Linked DNA regions of Lytechinus pictus. The protein of the gene in region 1 interacts with the protein of each later gene in a pairwise test. Links are inferred from orthologs where the notes say so. Each region holds a gene or a part of one and is shown in the gene's direction. Other genes may lie near its edges. The genes, in order: ubiquitin-conjugating enzyme E2 A and myosin-VIIa-like.

What was found.
Region 2: the proteins of ubiquitin-conjugating enzyme E2 A (region 1) and myosin-VIIa-like interact in a two-hybrid assay, tested with the Caenorhabditis elegans proteins (2 studies listed by BioGRID). The link is inferred for Lytechinus pictus from reciprocal best matches to the Caenorhabditis elegans genes ubc-1 and hum-6.

Annotation. Positions count from the first base shown.
Region 1 is NW_026974140.1:10,329,133-10,342,298, reverse strand, and holds the start of ubiquitin-conjugating enzyme E2 A, read left to right. Parts: upstream 1-6,890; 5' UTR 6,891-7,267; coding exon 7,268-7,311; intron 7,312-9,428; coding exon 9,429-9,509; intron 9,510-10,512; coding exon 10,513-10,538; intron 10,539-12,532; coding exon 12,533-12,622; intron 12,623-13,166. UniProt on the Caenorhabditis elegans protein: Catalyzes the covalent attachment of ubiquitin to other proteins.
Region 2 is NC_087260.1:11,314,514-11,327,706, reverse strand, and holds the start of myosin-VIIa-like, read left to right. Parts: upstream 1-6,351; 5' UTR 6,352-6,798; exon of another isoform or gene 6,799-6,840; intron 6,841-12,337; 5' UTR 12,338-12,421; coding exon 12,422-12,439; intron 12,440-13,193. UniProt on the Caenorhabditis elegans protein: Myosins are actin-based motor molecules with ATPase activity. Unconventional myosins serve in intracellular movements. Their highly divergent tails are presumed to bind to membranous compartments, which would be moved relative to actin filaments.

The DNA of each region.
Region 1 (13,166 bases):
TGTTTTATGTAGTGACATATACTTCTTTTTCATGACAACTTAAAGCGATTGCCACATTCTAAGGTCATCATATAAAACATTTCTTATCCGTGCTTACGTTCGCAATAGTGGATTGGTGAGATATATCTGATCTTCATGAATTCCTAAAATCAGTCCTTAAAATGTTCCTTTTTCTGATCTGAATATCGAAAATTTTCAGCTCGCGCTCGCATAATTTGGTTTGTGAAATACGTATGATCTTAGTGAATTCCTACAAAAATTCCCTCTTCAGGTCTGAATTTCCAAAATTTTCAGCTTGCGCTTCGCACTCGCAATATTTGATTTGTGAGATGCGTATGATAATCATGATTACAATGACTACAAAAAGTAATTCATGTGTTTAGACGTAATTCTAACAAAATCAGCAAGCGCTTGGCACTCGATTAGATTACTATGGTGAGATATGTACTCTTAATGGATTCCTTAAAAATACGGTCCTTAAAATATGCCTGTTAGGGGTCAAAATATACAAAAATTTCAACTCGCGCTTCGCGCTAGCGTTATTTGTTTAGCAAGACAGGTACGTATCATAACAAAATTGGCTTATAATGTCCCTTTTTAGGTCTGAATATCAAAAATTTTAAGCTCGCGCTTCGCGCTCGCATTATTTGATCAGTGAGATACATATCCGTTTAATTGTCCTTAAAAAGTATATTAGGTCAGTATACGTTGCAACTGAGCGCGCTTCGCGCGCTCACTGAGTGACTCAAAATTTTTGCTGGTGCCCCCCATGCCGTAAACCATGGTACGCCACTGGTAGTAGTAGTAGTAGTAGTAGTAGTAGTAGTAATAGTATAGTAGTAGTAGTTGGGGCCCAGTGGATTAGTCTTCTGACTTTGAACAGAGGGTCGTGGGTTCGAATCCCAGCCATAGCGTATTTTCCTTCAGCAAGAAATTCATCCACATTGTGCCGCACTCAACCCAGGTGAGATGAATGGGTACCTGGCAGGAATTTATTCCTTGAAATGCCACTGCGCTGTAAAAGGCTGCGGGGCTAAAGCAAGGGTTATAATATCCAAGTCCTTTTGGAAGCGCATAGGGACGTTATGACATAATGTGATATGCGTTATACAAGAATTGCGTTATTAATATTATCATAAATCCGTAATTGTTTACATTATGTTTTTTTACATGTTGCATTGGGCTTGAGCATGCGTGTTACTACTTTGTTTGCAAATGTTCAAACGTTTTTGTGAATAAATAAAAATAAAAAAAGATATTATTCAGTGAGGGCTTGAGACTTCAGTGAGTGTTCTAAGAAATGAAAGTGGACGAAGCAAATTATAACTAATTGAACGAGAATTTTGTCATTGGTATCAAAGCAATTAGTCTGTAAATATCAACTTCATTATGAAGCATTGAGTTAATGTGATGATGATAAAGATGGTGATGATGACGATGATGATGGTGATGATGATGATGGTGATGACTATGATGATGACGATGATGATAATGATGTTGATGATGATGATGACGATGCTGGTGATAATGATGACGATGATGATGATGATGACAATGATGATGATGACGATGGTGATGATGACGATGGCGATGATGATGACAATGATGATGGTGATGATGATGCCGATGATGATGATGGTGATGATGATGATGGCGATGATGATGATGTCGATGATGATGATGACGATGATGATGATGACGATGATGACGATGATGATGTTGATGATGATGATGGTGATGATGATGGTGGCAGTGGTGGTGGTGGTGTTGGTGGTGGTGATGGGCGGCGCCACATGCGGACCGGGGGCCATGATAAAAAGCCCAATTTTGGGTTACAACCTTTTTTTTTTGGTTGCTTTTTTTTGGTTGCTTGCTTGTCACATTTTGATAAATCCTTAATAATGGGTACCTTTTTGGCCAAAATGACCCGTAAATATGGGGGTGAGTTTTGAACCTTTAGCCGCACACCCCCGTCCAAACCAAATCTAAAGAATTGTAGATTTAGAAAATGGAAAACAAAATGGAACGTAAATTATAACTTCTAATCTGGACGCAGATGGGGCTATTCAACAAATTTTTCAGGGGGGTGAAACTCCGCTTCTGCATCCGGTTAGACATGGGGAAATTTTGGAAGGTCAAAAGTGCACACTGCTCCCATTTTTCGCGTACAAGCCTACGGACACCACAACTTCATGGCACACCAGCAAAACGGAGGCGTGGTCATAATTGGCCTGCGCGCACAGCGTAAAAATATGCAAATAAGTATAGTGTCACTAATTAGCATAATGCGCGACGTGATTGCATATGAAATGAATTCATAGAGCTGCGTCTTTAAGGTGGATTACGTCATTCATTCCCCGTTCACCCCCCGGTATTCAGTTGTTTATTCATCTTTTCTTGTTTACATATTTTTAATAATTATTATCTGTCGCGATTTTTACTACATCAATTAATACAATTATTTATTTGCTAGCTATTTCCCTGAAAGAGATATGGAAGCTTTCAAAGGATTCATTAATAGGATTGAACTTAGGGATCTGCTTGCTCTATTCATCAGGTGTTCATCACAGACATCACTGCATATTATTTTCATTTTTAATTATACATCACGAATAGCCATATATATGTTTGTTTGTTTGGTTTTTTTTTTTTTTTTTTTTTTTGGGGTTAAATGCTTAAAATGATCAGAGAAATCTGAGCAAGAGAGCAAAGCAATCAGGAGGTCATTTTGTCTTTATTTTGAAATTGAAATGAACAATCTGTTGCAAATCTTATGAAGATTTTTAGAAAAATCTGAGTTTAGGTTTGGAGCAAAATTAAGGCAGCCCATTATCCCCCAGCATGAATTTGCTCTCATCAAGGCTATCTTATAAAGGTGACTTCCAAACAATATAAAATTGTTGTACCTGCCCGCCCCCTAAATCTATCAATCTCACCCACCCCCCCCCCCTCTCTCTCCTCCACACACACACATACCACATAATCATGCGAGCAAACAATTATTCTCATATCATTTTATTTCTATCCCACTCTTAAATCAAATTGGTTTATCTCTTCAGGAAGAATATTTATTTTGGCTGTGCCTGATCATAAAATGTCACAGTATGCCATGTTGCAATAGCTTTTATGGGCTATCTTGCCATGCATGGTATTTTTATACTTTATGTTATACTCTTACCTGTTGTACTAGTATTATACCCATAGATACCTGACAAACAAAATCAATCAATCAGTATAGCACCATCATATTCCAGTCATATAGAAGTATTCTTCATTATCATCATACCATCATCTAAATATTTCATCACAACACAGTTTGGTAGCAATAACATCATCATCACTTTATCTTTCACACAATATGAATTGGTGGATTAAATAAATCACGAATATGAAGATTAGAAAGTATATTTTAAATTAAAATGTTTAATAAGCAATCAATTTTTGAAATATGTGATAAAAATATTCCTATCCTTTTGTTCTCGCCAAAGCATCACATTACATCAGCAAAATGCATATAATGAATGCAACAGAAATTGCAAGCCTGTTACAAGGGAACGGATGTAATTTTTTAGGTAAAATCTAGAGAAAAAAAAAATCGAAAAAAATGAGTATGTATATTCACTTTCATAGGTATTCACTTCCCCAAAAAATAAATTCAACAGTTAATGTCCAGCACTACAGGTCCTTGTTTCATAAAGACTTGAATTATGGTAAATTTGCCCCAATTGTAACTAGCAACTAGCATGGGAACCTCACTGATGATCTGTTGCTTGTTTCCACGGTAATTACCAGAATGGCAACGTTAGAATAGTGGTTAGTCTAGTAATGAAATGGGGTCCAGGAGTGAGAGTGATTTCTTAATCCTTTGTTCTGTAACCTTGTTTTTTTAGAATGCACATTTTTTCAATGAAAATCCATTATTTCTTATTTTCTTGTGTATTTCTGTAGGCATGTATGTTACATAGCCCAGACCTCAGTAAAGACCCATTCTGAATTGATTTTATTACCAGAATACAAACTATCCCTTTCAAACTACTAATAGCATTAAAAGTTCTTTCACTACTATAAGTACTACATTTAGATGATTAGAACATTAATAATGGGTGGGTAGGTGTGCCCTTTGGGAATATATTTTAATCTTGTGTGAAACCTATGGACCTAAATATTTATACTCCAATGCTATTTTTTTCTAAAGATGTGTAGTTTAAGCAAAATTCAATATGTATTGACAATATTCAAATTCATTCAATTTTTAAAATGTGTAATTGTGATTAAGTAACTACTTGTTATGAACTTGGCCTCCATATTTCTTCTTAATCTGTCCTGGTGGTACTAAAACAGCCTGTGAAACCTGCATGGTAAACAAAAAGAGAAAGTACAAAATGAGCTGCTGAATAATAATTATTCTCACTCATCTAGTCCAGTTTATTAAGACGTTTAAAACTTTTTATTAGGCCCTACTCTTCCATGCAAAATATTATTTAGATAATGCACATGTAGTAATCTATATAGCCAGATAAAAATCATAGATCACTATTTATAGATCGTTTTTCATAGATCTTTTTTGATTAAGTGTGCAAAATAATTCAAATATATATAAGATTACTCTCAATATTTTGTCCTTTTTATTTCTGTCTACATAGTAACTGAGTTTCAAAGTTATTTCATGTATGACTAATATAGATAAGAGACATGAATAATAAGTATGCATTGATGAGAATGGAAATACTGGTGAATCTGAATCCAAATAAATATTAACTCACAATGGAGCGTTACTATATGGGATAACATGATTCAGAAAAGTTGCTATATCCCTCCACCTCCCCACCCCCCCAAAAAAAAGGAAATAGGGGGCCTTTCTACGAAAACAAGCATACCTTGCAAGTTTTCAGTTCAGATATCCTATTCCTCATCAGATTGTTACTCTTGGTGATGTGCAAATGGTAGTTGACTTTGTACTTCTGACTAGGCTGGGACTGCTAAGAACTTGATCCTATTGGATCTGCAATTCAAAATACACACAATACTTAACAGTTTAGAATTTTAGATGTGATACACAAAATTCCTCTTTTAAAACAATATTTTCAAAATTTCCAGCTAGTCATATCCTATTAAAGTTCCCAACTAGAAAAAAAGCTGGTCTAAACCGAAAACTTCCTTCTCTCTGTATCATGTTCCACTGACGAAATAGGCATACCTGGCTCTGTTTCCACTGACCATCTTCATTGTCAATAAGAGTCAGTAAATGGTTCAAGCATACGTGGCCTACTATAGCGAGCCTGAGGCCTTTTGTCAATCTTCAATATATATACACCAATCCAGCTTTGACAGATGTAGAATAATTATTAATTTTGTGATAATTTGGCTCTCGCTCATTCACCAGTGCAAAACAATTATTTAATTTTTTGCACTCGTCTATAAGCATGTGAATCTCTACGTCTAAGTAAGTTCCTATTTAAGTTTGATTTTGATTTAAAAAGAGGTTAGCTTGCTCGCAAGTTTAAATGATCCTTTGCTTTTCACCATAAATAAGGTAAAGTGAGGAAGACAATAAAGATAAATCAATTGGATCAGCCCCTCTCTCTGCTTATACTTATAAAATTCAAAATGGGGCACTATAAATTTTCTAATCCCTTCCCATAAAAATTGCACTCATGGTATACGATAATTGAGCAGTTTGAAACCTGACAAAGAAATGTTGGCCCCCCCCCCAAAAAAAAACAATACTAATTTAACTCCGTTATGTTAGGCTAGAGTCTAATGACTAATTATAATTTTAGTCCAACGGTGATCCAGGCAGGGACTAGAATAAAGTTAACTTAAATCTTGAGAAAAAAGTCGAACCAGACAGATCTAGAATTTTATTTTTAGAAATCTAGATCTAAGTTAGACCTATCCCTAGGGCCTTACTTTTAGTAAAAAAAAAGACTAACGTTAAAATCTGTCTCAAATCATTCCATGAGTCATGACCATGGGCAAAATCTACCGATATCATTCCGAATAGATTTAGTTCATTTAAATTTAATTCAATTTCTTTTTAAATGCAGAGAATTATATTGATCCATATGAAGATGAAATAGCGGTGTCAAAAAATCATTAGGCCCAGGCCAAACTTTAAACTTCAACTCAAGCTTGTTTGACACTAAAATTCCCAACACCTAATGACCTAACCTACATCGGCAATTTCGCAGCCGGCTGGCACCGGCGGTATCAATGGCCGTATCCCGCTCTGACTATATTATTTGGCTTAAATTTGATGCAGCTTTGCCGATACTGAACAAGTCCACATCTACCCCTGATATAGATTTATTAAGGACGGACATGAAGCATTCCAATTAACCAACTTAGTTCTAGGAAAAACTGTATTATTTTCTGAGAAAATATGTCAGTCAGATCTCAGATTTATTTGGGATCAGGAAAAAGAAATGGTAATATGGAAATTGTGGTTTACGTACGGTACTAGTAAGGCCCTGACTGCGACGCCGAACCTCAGCAAACACATTACAATTACAACTGAGATCAAAGCACAAAATTTGAACTTCACTTACTTTTATTTGCATGGAATGCCATTACTCTGATGTAGATGTTCCCTCAAAGATTTTCTGCTCAACTGAATTTCACTCAGAAATCATGATTCCGGACACTAATTCTATAAACAGATAATTAGTCTTGCTATTGTATTTCAAAAAGTTGAATTTCGCAGAGTCAAAAAGAACAACACTTCGCACAGATATCGTAGGGAATTGTGGGATGGAAAAAAATGTTTAATGCATGAGGACATGAATAAAACATTAGCGTTTTATCCAATCATACAAGTGCATTATGCGTATTTTGACGTCATTACTCATGAATTAAACATTGACCTTCCAAAATCAACCTTCAAATTGGCCAAATGGCAGCCATGTTTGTTATGTACAAAACCTATGGAAAATAAAAAACGCGCGGAAAGAGTTCCCTCTCTAGCTCCCTTCGGGAGCTTACGTATACGTAAGATCGTATCTCTGTGAAATTTTTGCATTGTGGGAATTAATGGTTTTTCTCTGTGATGAGGTCATCGTATATGAAAACACAGTCTCTGTATGTGCAATATCGCTATAGTGCAGTGCAGTGCATATCCATGCAGTGTACATGTAGGGCCTATGCAAAAGAAAAAGTCATCACCGATGCGGACGTAACGACGATGAAATCAAGTTTTTGAGAAGTTTGAGGAGTGGTGGACTGTTCTTTGTATATATATTTATTGGATATTTAGTATATCTATCATAAAATGTCTACACCGGCGAGAAGGCGACTCATGAGAGATTTTAAAAAGTAAGTGCAAATACCATTGCCAGGGCCAGGCTTGAGTTGACTTGCAATGAATTGACAAATTGAGATTGCTGGAGAATCGTTTCTCACGACATTGCATTGCCTGCACGACTGACAGTGATGATGACATTTTTAAATTTTTAACCTGTAAAAGGCGAACTATATTATTGGATAATATCATTTCTTCATGAGAAATGAGTGAACTACTGTGAAGATCTTTAATTATTTAGTTTTGTTATTTTGTTCCAAAAAGGCAAAACCTCTCATGTTTTAATGGTTTTTGTCATTGTCATGTCAACTCATGTCTAGCCAGGCGGCTTCTAGAGAGTAAAAATCATTTACTAACGTAAGGTTACTCTCATACGAAGCCAGGCATTCCTCCCCATTCATCTGCGTGTACCGCAAAAAACCCTGAAACTTTCGCCCCCGAGATTTCTACTTTCCTTCTAAAAGATCTAGCTCTAAATCATGTAAATGGGATAAAACTTCATTTCCGACATTTCTATGCTCTCGTTGTTATTTTGAAAACAAGAATTCATCAAAAAAATGAAAAAATATTGTGAAAAGACGGAAGAGACTTGCCCGATGTTTACGCCGCCATCTTGTTTCTTATTGTACTTCCCCAACTTTACGCGACGCTCACGTCACAGTTGACACACCCAAGGGTTCATTACATGCCGCCGCGCACAGAAAATTCAAGCCATAGAAGTCGTGTGTTGTGGACCCAAGAAGTGAGATCCCAGCACGCGCGACCCACTAGTTAGAAATCCACTGCCAAACGCGGTTCGTGGTGCGAGGTTAGTGTACTAATACTAACCTCGCAATACGTGTGAGTGCAGTTGATAGTGACGCATTAAGATTATTGCACTGTAAATTATGTGTTGGACATTTTCTGTTTTGTTAGCTGGGACTGAAGCAGGGCCATATATATGGCATAGCCATACATGTGTAGGCTAAACATGTTCAAAATTCAACTTAAGTTATGGTGTTCCCCAGGCCCAAACTAGTCTGCGCATCTAACGATTTGAGTTAAAATTGAACACAAATTTCTTTTATGGCGCAGAATCTTTCATTTGATAATGTTCCTTTATCATGAGTAAGTGTGCCAAATATCTCATTAAAAAATGAGAGAAATACATGCATATGATTTTTCTTGGAAATAACTTTGGGCAGTCAAATTCAGATTGAACAAAACATGGTCCCCCATGTCTGCTCACCCATTCATAACCTTTTTTATTTAGCACTCTCAATTTCCGTAAGTGCTTTCTATAAAGCCCACATAGGAAAATGAAAATAAAACTTTCCCCATAAACAAGGACAATTAATTTCCATCTATCAAGACATGATTTCTCATGGTTTAAAAATATGAGGATATATCCTTGTTTACCGGGACGATCCTCTTTTTTTGGACCAAACACATCTCCAGTTGTCCACATGTATTGTAAACAAGATCTGGAAAACAATATCCCTGCTGGCAGATGAGATGGAGAAATTTAACTTGTAAAAATATGATATTACTCTGCATGTTTTGACCAAATTCTGACTTCAAAAATGCTACTGAGGGGGAAGTTTTTTTTTAGGAACTGCATGAAGATTCGCTGATGATTACATTGTTATCTTGGATTTTGTTGTGGAGTGCAATCATTTGGCTGATCGTCATCCATACAATGCAAACTGTTATGATTATGATTTTATTTTTTTTTTGAAAAAAATAAGCAGGATTTCAATAGCCACGTTGTCAAAACATGTGATATGATAAATAAATTGTATTTTTACAAGTACAAGTGTATAATGTTACCGTTGGGGGCCGAGAAATGGTTTCTGACTTTTCTGGACCTTGTTTACAATTGCATGCAGATATTTCTTGCAACATGCGACTGATACAAGTGCCAGGCGTCTTTAAGAGATTAAAATCGTGTTCGCAATTTACTCTCCAAACACCTCCTGGCTAGCATCATGTGAGGTTAATCTTTTTTGTATCAATCGCACAGAGCAAGGGACCACTGCATACATGTACATGTAAACAAGGGCTGGAAAATCATTTTGGCTGTTTTGTACTATCAACCTTGTTAAAGTGTGATATTGACCATTCTGAATGTCTTAACTTTTTTTCTTGTCAGATTACAAGAAGATCCACCAGCTGGCGTGAGTGGTGCACCTTCAGAAAATAACATAATGTTATGGAATGCTCTTATATTTGGGTAAGTTTTACTCTCGGGGGGGGGGGGGGGGGGGGGGGCAGTCAAATGTATTGCTGTACACATGCGTGACCAAATTATTTCCAAACACCCCCTAAACGAGTTTTTCTCTGTGTGCAAAATAACCCCCTATACAAGTTTTTTGCAGGCTTTATTTACACATTTTGGCCCTTACAAAACAAGTTGTCGCCAGAATAGGACCCCGGGGAAAAAGCTTGGGGAAAAAAAACATACCCTCAACATGTTTAAAAAGCTTAGGAAAAATAAAGTAAACATACCCTAAATATGTTTGACCCCGCGATCGACCAGTCTTTCAAAAGGGGTGTTTTTTATACCCTTAACGAGTGCACGCGCGGCCCAAGTCCAAAACTGAAAAAACACCCCTTTATTTGCATTTTTTTGGGACTCACACATGTGTACAGCAATATATTTGACTGGCCACCCCCCCCCCCTGGGTTTTACTGTACATGTACATTAAGTTACTGCTTACCCAAGAGTAATTCCTTATATATTTCTTATTTTAGAATATTCCTCTTTCATGGACTAATAAACTGTAAGCATTGATAAAACTGCTCATATCATCATGCTGGTGGCAGCAATAATATTCTATTTCAAATGCCTATCCTCATTAGTTAATGACATGTAAGTCTTCATAATAGCGGGATCTTTTCTTTCCCTTTGCAACATGGATACGCACAAGCCTGGTGAACATGTGTAGATTACCCTTCAAACATGGTTATGGAAATGAGTTTGCAGTTTATACTCTACATGTACATGTATGACAATAGTGTGGTATTCCTTTTTCCTGTCATTGCTGTCATACAGGATTTCATTTCACAAAATATCCTGAATATGCATCAAGTGCATGTATCATGCAGTTCAGTATAAATGATATTTGTTTATTTGAATTTTTAAACAAAAATTCAGTTTGTAGGGATTTGATTCAAAATATAAAAGAATGACAATATTCTGAAATCCATACATTTTTGTCTTTCCTTTATCAAAGGCCCCGTGACACCCCATTTGAAGATGGTAAGTTCAATTTACTTTTTATTAGCAAGGTTGTCACTGTGATAGTACATAATATAGAAAAAGGACATTCTTTAACTGTTTATGCTTAAAGGACAAGTCCACCCCCCAAAATGTTGATTTGAATAAAAAGCGAATAATCAATCAAGAAAAACACAGATAATTTTATCAAAATCGGATGTAAAATAAGAAAGTTATGACATTTCGAAGTTTCTTGTAATTTCACAAAACAGTTCTATGCATATACTGGTCAGTATGCAAATGAGGAGACTGATGACGTCATCCACTCACTATTTCTTGTGTATTATATGAAATAGGAAATCTACTAATTTTCTATTCATTTTCAAGTGAAATGACAATTATTTTGTCCCTGAACATTTGGAATTAGCATTGTTTAATACAATATGGTTCAGCCAATTTGGTCCTTATTGTCAATTCTGTAAAAAATGAAATATTGTATAATTCAAACAATAAAAAACAAAGAAATAGTAAGTAAAGGGACATTATTGACTGTCTCATTTGCAAGTCACTGAGTTGTGCATATCTCTGTTTTGTGAAAAATAAGCGAAATTTTAAGTCATATTTTTCTTATTTTACATCCGATTTTGATGAAATTTTCAGCGTTATGCAAGTTAGATTTTTCTCTATTTAATTAAATCAATGTTTTCCTGGGGTGGACTTGACCTTTAACCCTAAAAGGTCGGGGGGGGGGGGAAGGTGGGTTCTGCCTTCCTCTACATTTTACACAATAAATCTGCCACATGAAATTTTTCAACCGCGTTGCTCGCTGACTTTTTACTTTCAAATCTCGCACAACATATGAGACCAAATTTGCAATGCCCGGGTACGCGGTTACAAAATTACGCAACATTAGGTACATGTAAGTGAATGTTTGACCAAAAATTGCTTAAAGATGTGATTTTGTGATTATTTTTACTTTCATCAGTTGAAATTAATATGCTTCAAAAAGGTTTTGCTATTAATTTGGCAAAAAAAACCAAAGAATACATGTTCATAAAACAATAAAATACATAAGAAATTAATTTTCAAACCAGGATTTTTTATTTGTAATTTATTTGGTTTAAAGAATATTAACACAAAAAATAGCATTTATAGAAGCTTTTTTTAGTGAATTAGAGCAAGAAAGTATAATTTACGCATAAATTAGAAATTAAGTCTTATTTATAAACAAAAATATGATTGTTTTTTGGAAAATTTTACCATACTAACTTGTAGATTACATCTAACACCTGTACCTTGCCAATTTTCATGGCATTCGTGCGATTGGCAGTCAATATGTCATCCCCCCCCCCCCCGGCCAGCTAACGCCCCCCAAAACCTGGCCTGGTTTAAGAGAGCAATGCAATTTTATTTTGAAAATTACTGTTAGAACCATTGTTGGTAATATAATTTTGAGAGCAGCAAGGTACGTAATGTAGTAGAGGTGGGTACCATGGACATACAGGTATATCAGTTAGCACACTGGTCATACATGTAGCTTGTCAGTGAGGTTGCTATCAAATTCAAATTCAAATTACTTTAGATCAGGGCCCCGTCTTATGAAGAGTTACGATTGATCCAATCAATCACAACTATGGAAAGCCAGCAACGACAACATCTAAAATACATGGTTCTTCAAAATATTTTCTAGATATGACGTGGTATATTCACTGTTTTCTTCACAATTAGGTATGCTTTTGTTTTCAAAGGACATTGTGCAAATTTCCTAAAGAAAATAGTTATGACATTGATGGATTCCCATATACTTGAGGTTGATCAGATCAATCGTAACTCTTTGTAAGACGGGGCCCTAGATACATCACTCTATAAAATATACAGATTTCAGCTTCAATTTGAGCCAATTAATGAAAGGTCCCATAATTTTTGTTCTCATTCAATATCTCTAGAAGTGGATTGAAATCATTTTAAAAATGATTATTGTTTCTTGTTAAAAGTTTCTTGTGTTTAATTTTTCTCCTCATTTTATTTTTCCCCAGGAACGTTCAAGCTAACTATTGAATTTACAGAAGAGTACCCCAACAAACCACCCACAGTACGCTTTATATCAAAGATGTATCACCCTAATGGTAAGACTTATAATCTACATGTACACTCTAGGACCTGTAGTCTGAACTCGGGTTGGATTTAAACTCTGGTGGGTGTTTCATAAATCTGTTCGTAAGTTAAGAGCGACTTTAAGAATGACTGGTGATCCTTTCTTAAGCGCAAAACCCTCACCAATGCACGTTTTGGTGTATACCATTTACCATAAGAAAGGATCACCAGTCATTCTTAAAGTCGCTCTTAACTTACAAACAGCTTTATGAAACGGTCCCAAGGTCTAAAGATATGCTTTCACTACATCATATTGCCAGTTGTGATCTCTAACAGCACAAGTTTAATTTGTCAGCTTGTTTGACATTCATAAATGACTGGGAATAATTCCTGAAATAGATCTCATCATCAAAATATGAGGAAAGTGCCCAGTAAATATAGGAAACAACATGATTTTGAAATGTTTGGCTTGCCATAATTTTAGCACAGAGTTAGACCACATGTGGCCTACATGTAAGTTAAACCAGACTCCACAATATGGGCATAGGAGTTTTGGTGCACTATATTTTCAAAAGG
Region 2 (13,193 bases), on another chromosome or scaffold:
TTATCATTTTATGCCATTTTGGCGCAAGCCTCCTTTTTAACCCCAGACAAAAAACATTCCGTGTTCGCTCAAGCATGAACGAAACTAATTCTTTTTAATAACATTTGAAAGATAAGACTTCAGAGCACCTTTTAACACCAAAATATGGACATCATAATTTGAAACAAAAATTTTATAGATTTTTCAAATCTGTCCGGTTTTTTTTTATACGCACTGTGTAAGCGTAATACAAGAGAAACTGCCAGGGGGGTTTCACATTTCACCTGCAAAACTTTACTTTTTTCCGGGTCACGAGGTGTTATGGTTGGTCTACAGTACATGATTATAGGCCTCTGGATGTGTGTTTTGCAAGAGGGCAAAACATAAAATTACCTTACAACTGAAACTGAGAAACAAAGAAATATGTATGAATTATTTTAACTGAAAGTGTTCTAAATTGCGCTCTATAAATATATGCCTTTTATTATTGCTATTATTATCATTATGTTATTATTTCTACTATTTTGATTATTATTATTATTATGATGATGATGATGATGATTATTATTATTTTATTTTTATTATTGCTATTATTATTATTGTTATTATTATCATTATTATTATTATCAATATTATTATTATTATTGTCATTATTATTATTATTTCAATCAAGTCAGGAAATTCATATTTTGAAAATGCATACCTGTAAATGTTGAGTTTGTGTGAATATGTGGGAGCACTTTATGATGATGAATTACAGTTTACTGACTCTACCATACGGTGTCTTGTCATTCTTTATGTGGCAGGTCTTGTTTGTTGCATTTTATTTACAATATACCTCTCAAAACTCCACAAAATTACTATTGGGGTGTTGCTATATTGGGGGTGTTGTTTGCAATTAATTGCAAGTCTGTTTTGGTCCCAAAATCGATCATAAGAATTGGCGTTAATTGCAAATTTGCTCTTGATTTCTGATTGATTACTTCATACAACAATGAGTGTAACCTGATTAAAATTGAAATAAAATCAAATTGATTGCAAATATATTCATACTCTTTTCTTAGTGTAGCAGGAGGCTCTTAACATTAGTTAAAACCACTTTCACGGTAGAGGTTAACAAAGTTCTACATGTACATGTATGGCAGTGACACTTGCCTTTTTCATATACTGATTGTAACATTAACTGATCAACTATTATATTTTTTTAATTGCAAGAGATCTTTTTAGTGTACATTCTATTAGCTTTTTGCTACATGTACATGCACATGTAGTCCAGGATAGAAGAGGCATAACCTTGTTTTTTGTCTCGCCTGCATAGCAGAGCGAGACTATAGGCGCCGCTTTTCCGACAGCGACGGCGGCGGCGGCGGCGGCGGCGTCAACATCAAATCTTAACCTAAGGTTAAGTTTTTGAAATGACATCATAACTTAGAAAGTATATGGACCTAGTTCATGAAAATTGGACATAAGGTTAATCAAGTATTACTGAACATCCTGCCCGAGTTTCAGGTCACATGACCAAGGTCAAAGGTCATTTAGGGTCAATGAACTTAGACCATGTTGGGAAAATTATTTTCAAAATCTTAACCGAAGGTTAACTTTTTGAAATGACATAACTTAGAAAGTATATGGACCTAGTTCATGAAACTTGAGCATAAGGTTAATCAAGTATAAGAAAACATCCTGCTCGAGTTTCAGGTCACGTGACCAAGGTCAAAGGTCATTTAGGGTCAATGAACTTTGGCCAAGTTGGGGGTATTTGTTGAATTACCATCATAACTTTGAAAATTTATGGATTTAGTTCATGAAACTTGGACATTAGGTTAATCAAGTACCACTGAATATCCTGTGCGAGTTTCAGGTCACATGACCATGGTCAATGGTCATTTAAGGTCAATGAACTTTGGCCGTGTTGGGGGTATATGTTAAAATACCATCCTAACTCTGAAAGTTTATGGATCTAGTTCATAAAACTTGGACATAAGAGTAATCAAGTATCACTGAACATCCTGTACGAGTTTCAGGTCACATGACCATGGTCAAAGGTCATTAAAGGTCAATGAACTTTGGCTGTGTTGGGGGTATTTGTTGAATTACCATCCTAACTCTGAAGTTTATGGATCTACCGGTAGTTCATAAAACTTGGGATATAAGAGTAATCAAGCATCACTGAACATCCCCTGTGAGTTTCAGGTCACAAAACCAAGTCAAAGGTCAGTTAAGGTCAATAAACTTAGGCCATGTTGGGGTAATTGTTGAAGTGCCATCATAACTTTGAAAGTTTATGGATAGAGTGAATGAAATGTGGATATGGGTGTAGTTGACAGTCTTAAGTCTCCGTTCAAATGTCATTTATGGTCAATGAACGTGGTATTATGTCATTATATGAATGGTGTTTTTGTGAATGATTATTTTATAGTAGTTATCAAAGTTAACACTGCTGCTATATTAAATTGCGTAATGCAGGCGAGACTGCCAGAGGCGTTCCACTTGTTTATATATACAATAGTTTTTTATGGTTACTTGTCAATTCGAGTGTGCTGATTACGAATCTGGATGATGCCACTCGTGTAACCTTGAGCATTTTCCGCAAATTGGCAAAATCAAATATGGCCGCCAAAATATGCAAATTACCCATAAAAATCCTAAAATTGTCCGCACATTGGCTATGAAATGCATGAAATCGTGTAGCAGGAGTGAAATACTCTCTGAAAAAAATAATTTTTGACAAAATATTTATTTTCCTGATATTCAAAATGGCCGCCAAAGGCCCTTGTATATTCTATTATGTACAATATGAATAGGGAAAACTAATTTTCACAAAAATGAGCACTAAAGTGCAAAAATCGCAATGTATGAACGAAGTAATATATGCAAATCATCATTACTAACGAGATATATCGTTTATTATGTCATATATGGGAACATTTCTGTATTTTGATATCTAAAATAGCTGCCACTGGCCCAAACAGTATTGCGTACAATGGCAATGGGGGCCAAAAAATTCACAAGAGTGATCACTAGAATGCATATTATTAAGATTAAACGAGTGGAATACTGACTAAAAACATAATTGTTAACGAAATATATTATTAATATGCCATATATGTGATGAATGATTTATTTTGATATTCAAAATGGCTGCCAAAGGCCCTAAAAGTATTATGCACAATGAGAAAGAGGAGCAAAGAAATCACAAGAGAGAGCACTAAAATGCATATATATGTGATAAATTAATGGGATACTGTCTAAAAACATATTTTCTAACGAAATATATCATTCAGGTTTCAAGTTTGTGTTAAATACTGTATTTTTATTTTCAAAATGGCCGCCATAGGCATTAACAGTATCATGTACAATGCAAAGTGGGAAACCAATATTCACAAGAGTGAGCACCATAAATGCACGTAATAGTGATCTATGAGTAAAATATTGTCTGAAAGCATAATTTCTATTAAGATATATCATTTATTCTGCCAGTTAGGTGATAAATACTGTTATTAAAAAGTCAAAATGGCCGCTACAGGCCCTTATGATACTATGCACAATGTGAATGGGAACAAATTATTTCAACGGAATTTGGCTTTGCTTGGCCAAATGGTGATGTATGAGGGAAATATTGTCTGAAAACATGATTTATAACAAAATATATCATATCCTATGTAATTTAGGTGATAAATACTGTATTTCAACATTCAAAATGGCTGCCATATGCCCTTTTTGTGAACATTATTTGTCTCCACTCATATTGTATATTATACGTTAAGGGCCTATGGTGGCCATTTTCAATTTTAAAATGCAGCATTTATCAACTTAATTACACATGATATGATATATCTCGGTAGAAACCATGGTTTTAGACAATATTTCACCCTTTCACAATTCACAATTATATGCAATATTTAGAGTCAAGCAAAGCCAAATTCTGTCAAAATTATATGTCCCATGTTACAATGTACACAATACTTTTAGGACCTATGGCAATCATTTTGGATTTCAAAGTACTGCATTTATTACCTCCACGACCAATATGTGATCTATTCACTTAGAAATCATATTTAAGACAATATTTTTACTCGTATATCACAGTTATATGCATTTTATGATTCTCACTCTTGTGAAAATTAGTTTCTCCTTTCGCATTGTACATGATAAATATAGGGCCTATGGCGGCCATTTTGAATGTCAAAATACAGCATTTATCACATAAATGGTATATTAATGGCAATGATGGCAATTATGCTTTTAGTCAGTATTCCACTCGTTTATCTTAATAATATGCATTTTAGTGCTCACTCTTGTCATTTTTTTGGACCCCGGTCATTGCCATTGTACATAATACTCTTGGGCCAGTGGGGGCTTTTAGATATCAAAATACAGCAATATCCCCATATATGACATAATAAATGATATATCTTGTTAGTAATGATGATTTGCATATATTACTTCGTTCATACATCACAATTTTTTTGCGGTTTAGTGCTCATTTTTGTGAAAATTAGTTTTCCCTATTCATATTGTACATAATAGAGTATACAAGGGCCTATGGCGGCCACTTTGAATATCAGAAAATAAATATTTTGTCAAAAATTATTTTTTTCAGAGAGTATTTCACTCCTGCTACACGATTTCATGCATTTCATAGCCAATGTGCGGACAATTTTAGGATTTTTATGGGTAATTTGCATATTTTGGCGGCCATATTTGATTTCGCCAATTTGCGGAAAATGCTCAAGGTTACACGAGTGGCATCATCCAGATTCGTAATCAGCACCCTCGAATTGACAAGAAACCATTAAAAAATATTGTATATATAAGAAAACAAGGTTTGGTCAAGTTTCTACGGGGCCTATCCTGGACTAATGTTTCTCAGCATAATAGTAAGCTTGAATTTATACAGTTTCAACTATTTCAGCAATTTTACATCTGGGCCCTGTTTCAAATAGACATGTTATAACAACAAATTCACCTGTAGTTTCTATTACAAATTTACTGTCATCAGTCAGCCAATCAAATTTCAGTATTTCAGTAGCTTTTGACTGTTATCGCAAATATGAAACAGGCCCATGATGCTTCAGTCTGGCAGCACATCAACTTAGTCTAATCATGTTTTGCATTCGATGATACGAGGCAGATATTATGAAGATGTTTAGAATGATGATCATCCTATCTGAGATAAATAAAAACTGTGCAAAGTTCACCCGGTGCAAAACTGCCTCGCCTCTTTCACAGTTTACTTCTAGTCTTGCACTTCAGACTCTGTTTTATTGTTGACTACTGCTTCGTCATTGAAATTCTTGTTTTGGTCCGTAAAATATACTTCAGAATTTCAGGATCAATGCAAAATGTTTTATCCTTAGTGATTTCATTAAGTTACATTTATTTCCTTCCTTCATAAGCGTCTATCAAATTTGCAAACTATAATCATTTGTAAGTTTTCGCTTTAAATATCCTAATCATGGGAAAAATAATTTTCAAGCCAGAAAAATCACAAGAATATCATTTCCTCCCTCCCTACAGGTGTATGCATTATTTTCATATATTAAACTTTAGAATGACTCTGGAAGTCACCTTTATTGCCCATGACCCAGTAATATTTGTTAAGTTTTAAAGTTGAACAATAAAAAGAATCTTATCAACTTTAACTTAAGTCAGCATTTGTTTTATATAACTTACTTCCAATTCTCAGTTTTGAAGCTATAATTATTTCAGTGGCATACTACATGTACTTGTTATAACATTTCGTATCGAGTGTTAACAAGTTGAATGTGTCTTATCTTAGGGAGATGTAGACTTACTATACATATATCTATTATCTCACACTCCAAGTCTGAAAAAAAATTGTTTTGAACTTGGCTTTTATATATTTATGCCCTAATGTTTTAATATGTTTTCAAGCAAGGGTGGGCCCTGGATTTATTTAATAGGGTACTTCCATTTTGTGTGGGATTAAAAAAAAAAAAGAACAAAAAAGGTTCTTGTTGGCAAGAACTTGTGTCATCGTCACCTCTCCCATAAAGATTACAAGCAAAAATGATAGAATAAAAAGAGAAATCAAGTCCATTGTTGTTTGTCTCCCAGATCGACACTCAGGGCACATTATGCTAACCGATACTTTTATCTAAAGTTCCAAAAAAAAAAGAATTCATAACAACTTTATTGTTAACAACTTAACATTAGTGGATGGAGATGAGTTTAACGATATAAACTTTACAACCATTTGGATGATAATTATATAATAACATGACGGTCTGATTCCGGAGACTATTCTCGCCCTATGCCCACTGAACTGTGTCCCTTGTGTAGTGAGTCACATATATTTGTGTTGAGCTCTCCTATTGTCATATAGGTATGCCGCCTATTGTTCCCCTCACCCTCGCTCTTATTACGCATACACCCCTGTTCTTGGTTGTGTGCCCAGCCCAAAGCTTGGGCAGCACCCCTCAGAGTACATACCAAGTGTGCTCGCTCCAATGGCAATGCATGAAATACATGAACCTTCTACCACTAAACCAAAGGGGGGAAGCCGGGGAGTATCGTGCGCTGCAATATAGGAGGATCCATTCTTGCATAGAATAGAACTATTGTGTATTCTTTGAGAACTTAGCCATAGTGGTCCAGCTGCATGTTTTCTTAGTGGTGTGTGTGTGTCTATCTCTGTATTAAGAAAGAGAGAGATTTGTTCAGTCAGTTCAGCACTGCCACATTGGCAAAAGACCGACACCGACAACAACTAACCGGCTGGTATTGAACTTTAAGCGGAAGGGGGAGTGTTTGTTAATTTGGTCATCGGAGAGAGATAACATCGGATTTAATTACGTGAGTGACTGGGCTACTGGGCTTAATTGACCACCTTTAATGGCAAGTAATAACTCTAAGTGGGTTGATGATTGTCAATGTTTAGTTTACCTTTTAGTGTATTGTTGTTAATACTTATTTTGAGTAAATTGGAAAAGATAAATTGGAAAAGATAGCTTGGTGATACATATAGCTACAGAGGTTGTATGTATAGTAAAAGTAGAGATCAGAGTTTTAAGCAGAAATAATGAAAATATTGGCCATCTGGAAACAGGTACCTTCTCCGTTTTCTTTCATTATAGCATATAATTGATTAATCTATTCTGTTAAATTAAGTACTACTACTACTACAGATATTGTAAATAATTATGTACATGTAATGAAACAACATGCATTTTTGTAATTTCCCATCAAAGTTTACTGTGTTATCACCTGGTAATATTATTCATGAAAAAAAGACATTCCACTCAAATTCTATCACATTTTAGTATTTTACCACAGTAGACATTACAATACAAAGTATTTATATTCAATTGCACAGGTATTTGATTTTTAAACTTAGTATTTAAACAAAATACTTTGATCTTCACTTTTCAAGTTTTTTATCAGTGATAAGAATTAAGTTTTAAATGCGTTCCTACCAGGGATATAATGTACTTTCAACGTATAAGTGAATCAGAACATTCATGATGTATTTATGGATGTAATATACTTTTGATACATTTCCCATTTGGTATAGCATAATATATTCATATATAAAGTTATAAATTTATTTATTTAGAGGGTGGTATGTGTGGTTTTACCACTATCTAAAGTAAACTAAACAAACTTCACTGAACTCTTTGATCAGTACAATCTTCATCGCATCGTTCATATGCAAACAAATTCACCATTAATTGGCATATTCTGTATAATGTGTTAGTTATGTGTTCTAAGTTCAGAAGGGTAATTGTATCTCATTTCATGCTGAGAAATTCAAGGAATTGATCAATCTTGCCTTGTCTTGCTTTTCTGCTGATGCCCAGTATTTGATAAAAATTTATGTCACATTTGAAAATTGACCTGCAAATTTTTCTATGATATCCTACTGGACTGTTGAAACTCTTTTTTTCCCTTCTGGCATAATAAAAAGAATACTTTCCAAGGTTTTATCATGAGTGTGTGAAGAATTTTGATATTGATATAGCCTTTTTTTGTTCATCATGATTTAAAAAGAATACAATCAACAAGGCAAATAGCTGTAATTTCAAAAACTTCTGCACACTACCCCAAAATGTTTGCCATGTTCATTCATATTTTCCCCTCAAAAGCTCCCTTTTTATCGTTTCCTCTCTTCTTGGTTCACTTTCATAATGAACCAAAGAACCAAATGTTGCATTTTAGTCACTGTACATGTCAAAGTTTATTGTATAGGCCTATTATAATTGATATGCCAACATTTTCCAGAGGACTGACAGCCTAGCAGATACAAAATTGTTAGTTTAATGAGCACTACAAAATAAGAATATTGGAAACCAATTGTTTAGTATTTGCAACTGTACGGTATAATAATTGACCGACACTTGGTTTTAGGGAAAATGAACTTATTGCTGCTAACGTTTGGACTGCCCCCATAGCGATTTAGGATATATGATTCTCTTTTGCAGGCAATTATTTGATAATTATTTGATGTTCCTGTCAAGACCAGTTAATTTCATATCTAGATATTTCAATATCACTATTACATTTGTACATTTCCGTTTGTACCAGTGTACAGTAGCAACACAGATAATTAAAAATCTAATTATCTTACCGTACGTGTTTGTCTCGTACATGTATATCTGATTAAGTCATTATTATTGTGTTATTATTGCTTTATTAGTCCCATGTGAACAAGGTGTCAAATTTGTTTTTATTACAGATCTACCTTGCAATCCAACAAGTACAAAATGTACAATACATTTATTTTTAAAAGAATGAATATGCAGAGCTGCCAAGTAGTACGTTATTTATTTTTTTTACAAAATAAAAATTTATTGAGAAAAATCATCTCTATATGTCTCTATTTCATAAAACGTACACAAATATGGTTATTAGATCAATGTAATTTCAGGTAACTTCTTTTTTTTTTTTCAATCATTTTGTAAAAACCAGGGTGAGATATACACAAGTTTCAATGTTTTTTTTTTTCATCTGCAAGAGCAGTGCACATTTTAGCTTGCATGCAGCTTGAGCGCCGTGATGGGCGAGTGCGCCAAGCATTTTATTATGAAATACACTTTTGGGGGGAAAAATACAAAATATTTATCTCACACGGTAAATTTTTTTGTCAAAATTTTGTCAAATTTTTTTGTCAAAATACTGATTTTGGGGGATAAGAATAATGAAAATGCAAAATACAACTTGGCAGCTCTGAATATGTGTAGGCCTACTTTATTATGTCCAATATTTCTTTTTTCCACATCTATGCATGGCCATTTTATTTGAGTATAATAAAATCCCACAGGAATTGGTAGTTTCTTCTGGGGACTGAAAACAATATGGCCCGTATTCTGAACTCGGGTTTATTAAAACTGAACCCTGGTTTAAAGTTGTGGTTTAAGTATGGAGAGCCAAATGGGGCAAAAATCCCTAACAGTACACATTCAATTTATGAACTTATTGGACACTCAAATTATTCATAATTGTCTGGGAATGATAATTGAAATATTTTTCTTCATTATGAAAGCAAAAGGAAAAACAATTCAAATTCATATGACTTTGTTCTTCTAATTTCTTTTTGCTATATTTACAATAACTTTTGTATTGCAATACAATGATATTTCAACTATTATACATGAATATAACTAAGGTGAAAGTACCTTAAGAAATTAATATTTTAGTCATTAGATTACAGTGATATAACTTTCATTCAAGCTCCACATATGTTTTCAGTATTGCATAATAAACAAAATCATTTTCATCTAAAAACAAACTTCTATTTCTTTGTAGAGAACAAAGTACAAAATATAACAGTTTTTTTCGCAAAGAACTGGGAAGTTATCCCCTCAACATGACATGGCTATTTCCATGAATAAAAGCTAATTGTTTACTCAAGAAAAGAGGACAGCCCATCTAGTTTATATATCAAACAAAATCGTAGACCTTTGAGCTTTCAAAGTACATGAATATGGTGGATAAAAAATGCAATGAATTGAATGGATAGCCGTTATAATGGATTGAATGAATATTAATTACTTTAGATATACTCATTCTCTTTGTACAATTCTAGAATTTCTTTCTTGAAACATTTGTCAGAATTTGTGACAGAAATAACACACACAGTTTCATTAGTTGTACAGTACACACACTGTAAGTACTAAGGACCTTAAATTTATTACTGTTTTTGTCTTTTTATGGGTGTTATTACATATGTACAGTATGTGGAAAAGTTATGAATCGGCTGAGTAAATTATTGAAAAGATTTTGTAATATGACTCACAATGTACTTCCTTCTATTTTAACCCCCATCCCCCAAGAATTATTCAATTATTCATCCTGGTCATCCTAAAAATAATTCTTTTTGAATAATTGGAAATCAGTGAATATTTTTCATATTATAATGTACTTATGAGAAAATGTTCAGTTTAAAGGGGAAGTTCAACCTGGCATCACAAATCAAGAATTTAAAATTCTGATAACTTTGATGAATTTTCCTCAAACCTTTACCAATAGTTATTTTTATTTTTTTCTGGTATTCTTGCAACAAACCTTTCGTCAGGGTGAACTTCCCCTTTAAATCTAGTCTTTGTAAATGACACAAACTTGTGCACTTCTTACATGTACCTTCATTCAAACCAAAGGGATCACTCAACTTTACTCAGGAGCTATTTATTTCTTCTTCGACTCTGCAAACCTTTACACTGACAGGAATCACCTGAGATGTTTTAAAAAGCTCCTCTAATCACATCATAAAGGTTAATTGCTGTGATAACGATGACTACAATCGTAAGCATCCATTTGGATGCCTAACACTGTAAGCCATGAAGGGAAAATAATCACTTTTTTTGCCATTATTTCAAAGCATGTAAAGGTGCTTGTGGAATGACATTTTCAGGGATTCCTCTTGAAATATTGTTGCATGCATATTGCACTTAAAGGTCAAGTCCACCCCAGAAAAATATTGATTGGAATAAATTATAGAGAAAAATCAAACTAGCAAAACAGTGAAAATTTCATTGAAATCGGATATAAAATAAGAAAGTTAGGACATTTTAAAGTTTCACTTATTTTTTTTTTACAAAACAGTGATATGCACGACTCAGCGACATGCAATTGAGACAGCTATGATGTCCCTCACTCACTATTTCTTTTGTTTTTCATTGTTTGAATTATACAATATTTAAATTTTTACAGATTTGACAATGATAACCAACTTGACTGAACCATAAAATGTTAAAACAATGGTAATTCCACTTGTTCAGGGAGGAATTAATCATTGTTTCACTTGACAATGAGGAGAAAAATAGAATATTCCCTATTTCATATAATAAAAGAAATAGCTATGAGTGGATGATGTCATCAGTCTCCTCATTTGCATACCCACCAGGATGTGCATATAACTGTTCTGTGAAATTAAGCAAAACTTAAATGTCATAACTTTCTTATTTTACATCAGATTTTGATGAAATTTTCAGTGTTATGCTTATTGGATTTTTCTCTTTTTATTCAAATCAACTTTTTGTTGGAGTGGACTTGTCCTTTACAATTAAAAAGAAAGCCTATAGAGTTAACCCCTTTAAAACAGAGAACTTTATGAATACTGTTAAGGATCCTGAAAAGGGGAAAATAGTATTAAAAAAAATCTTTCATTTTTTGTGAATGGTTCTTGTGTAGATACAATAGTTTTAGAATGACTATTGATTGAACAATTCATGCAATTCTTTCATTCACCTTTTGTCGAAATGTATGGCTCTAGGCAAGAGTCGGTCTAATCTTTGAAAGAAATTCTATCATAAAAAATGTGTGCAATTTTAATACCTCAAATTCTTGTTAAATAGAGCATATAGCCATGTGGGGAATGCCTTTTCTCAATATATGATTTTAATTTTTTTAGATTTTACAACTTTAGATGTTTGATTTAATCTCATTACTTGTCATAACAGAATTTTTAGATCCTTTGCAGGATTGGATGTCACTCTTTCTTCAGCAAGTGAATCAGTGATAACTCCATTTGGAGTGGAATTCCTCACTGATCAGTGATCACTGGCTTGAAATCAATACTTTTAAGAATAATGTAAATTCTACATATAATGTGATATTTTGTAAGAATGTGTGCTATTTGGTAATAAGATTGTCCATTTGATTATATCCTGATTGTATGAAAGTTTCTCTTATACATGTATTTGAATAAATCACATACAATGTAACATTCAATGGATTTAATATCTCTTTAGAAAAAGAAGTTCTGTCTTTACCACACTAAAACAAATGTTTACTTTTAACTTTGAAATTAAGATAACCCTTTTTTCATTCCATTTGTAGGTGCATACTATTAACTTTTCAAATAATGGAATCCTTTTTTTCATCTTTTGTTTTTCAGATCTGATGGTCGGATGTAGCCCCCTGAATGAATAAATAATTAGGATTAATTTCTTGTCAGATTTGAACCCGACACACAGCCACCATGGTCATCCTCGTAAAGGTATGAAAACTTAACAAGATGTTTCTTGTCGGGGGAATTTTCTTGATTTTGTTTGTATCTGAATGTTTAAGTAAGTGAAATGATTTTATTTGAGTTTCTTCTTGTTTATAGTGAAAGTCCTCGTTTGGTTTCATGTTTTTTTTTAGTTACTTGAAAAATCAAATGTGTTAAGAGAAACTTAGGACAAATATTCAACTCATATTTTGACATAAATATATAAGATCACTTGTACTCCTATAACGTCTTCTACAGTGTATTTTAAAAGAAATTCAGGTTTAGCTTAATGAGAAATGTATCAGCATTTTTATGAACTTTGTACTTTAATTATCCATTTGGCTTTGAATATAGCAAGATCTTCAAACAACTTCAAAAAATGTCAACTTAACAATAACTTGTTAATATGATTCATGACATATGCATGTGTGTACCGTCTGCTCCATATAATTAAAATCCCACGCAACACACACCCCACAAATGGAATATTTACGTGCTAGATGGTTTTCAATTGAGGACTGGATCGTGTCATTGTAGAGCAAAACTCTCCACACAGGCACACAATACAGATCTGTGACGTTGCTATAAAAAAGTGTGACTCTTTTGCCCATGGATGATTTCATATTCCATTTCTTTTAATAAATGCTTTTTGTTATTCTTTCTCATTGAGCTCTTCCTTTTTACAAATCGTGGGAGAGAGGCAAATGTACACATGTAGAAGGAAGTGAAAAATAGTTATTTTTTCACTCTTTTAGGGAAA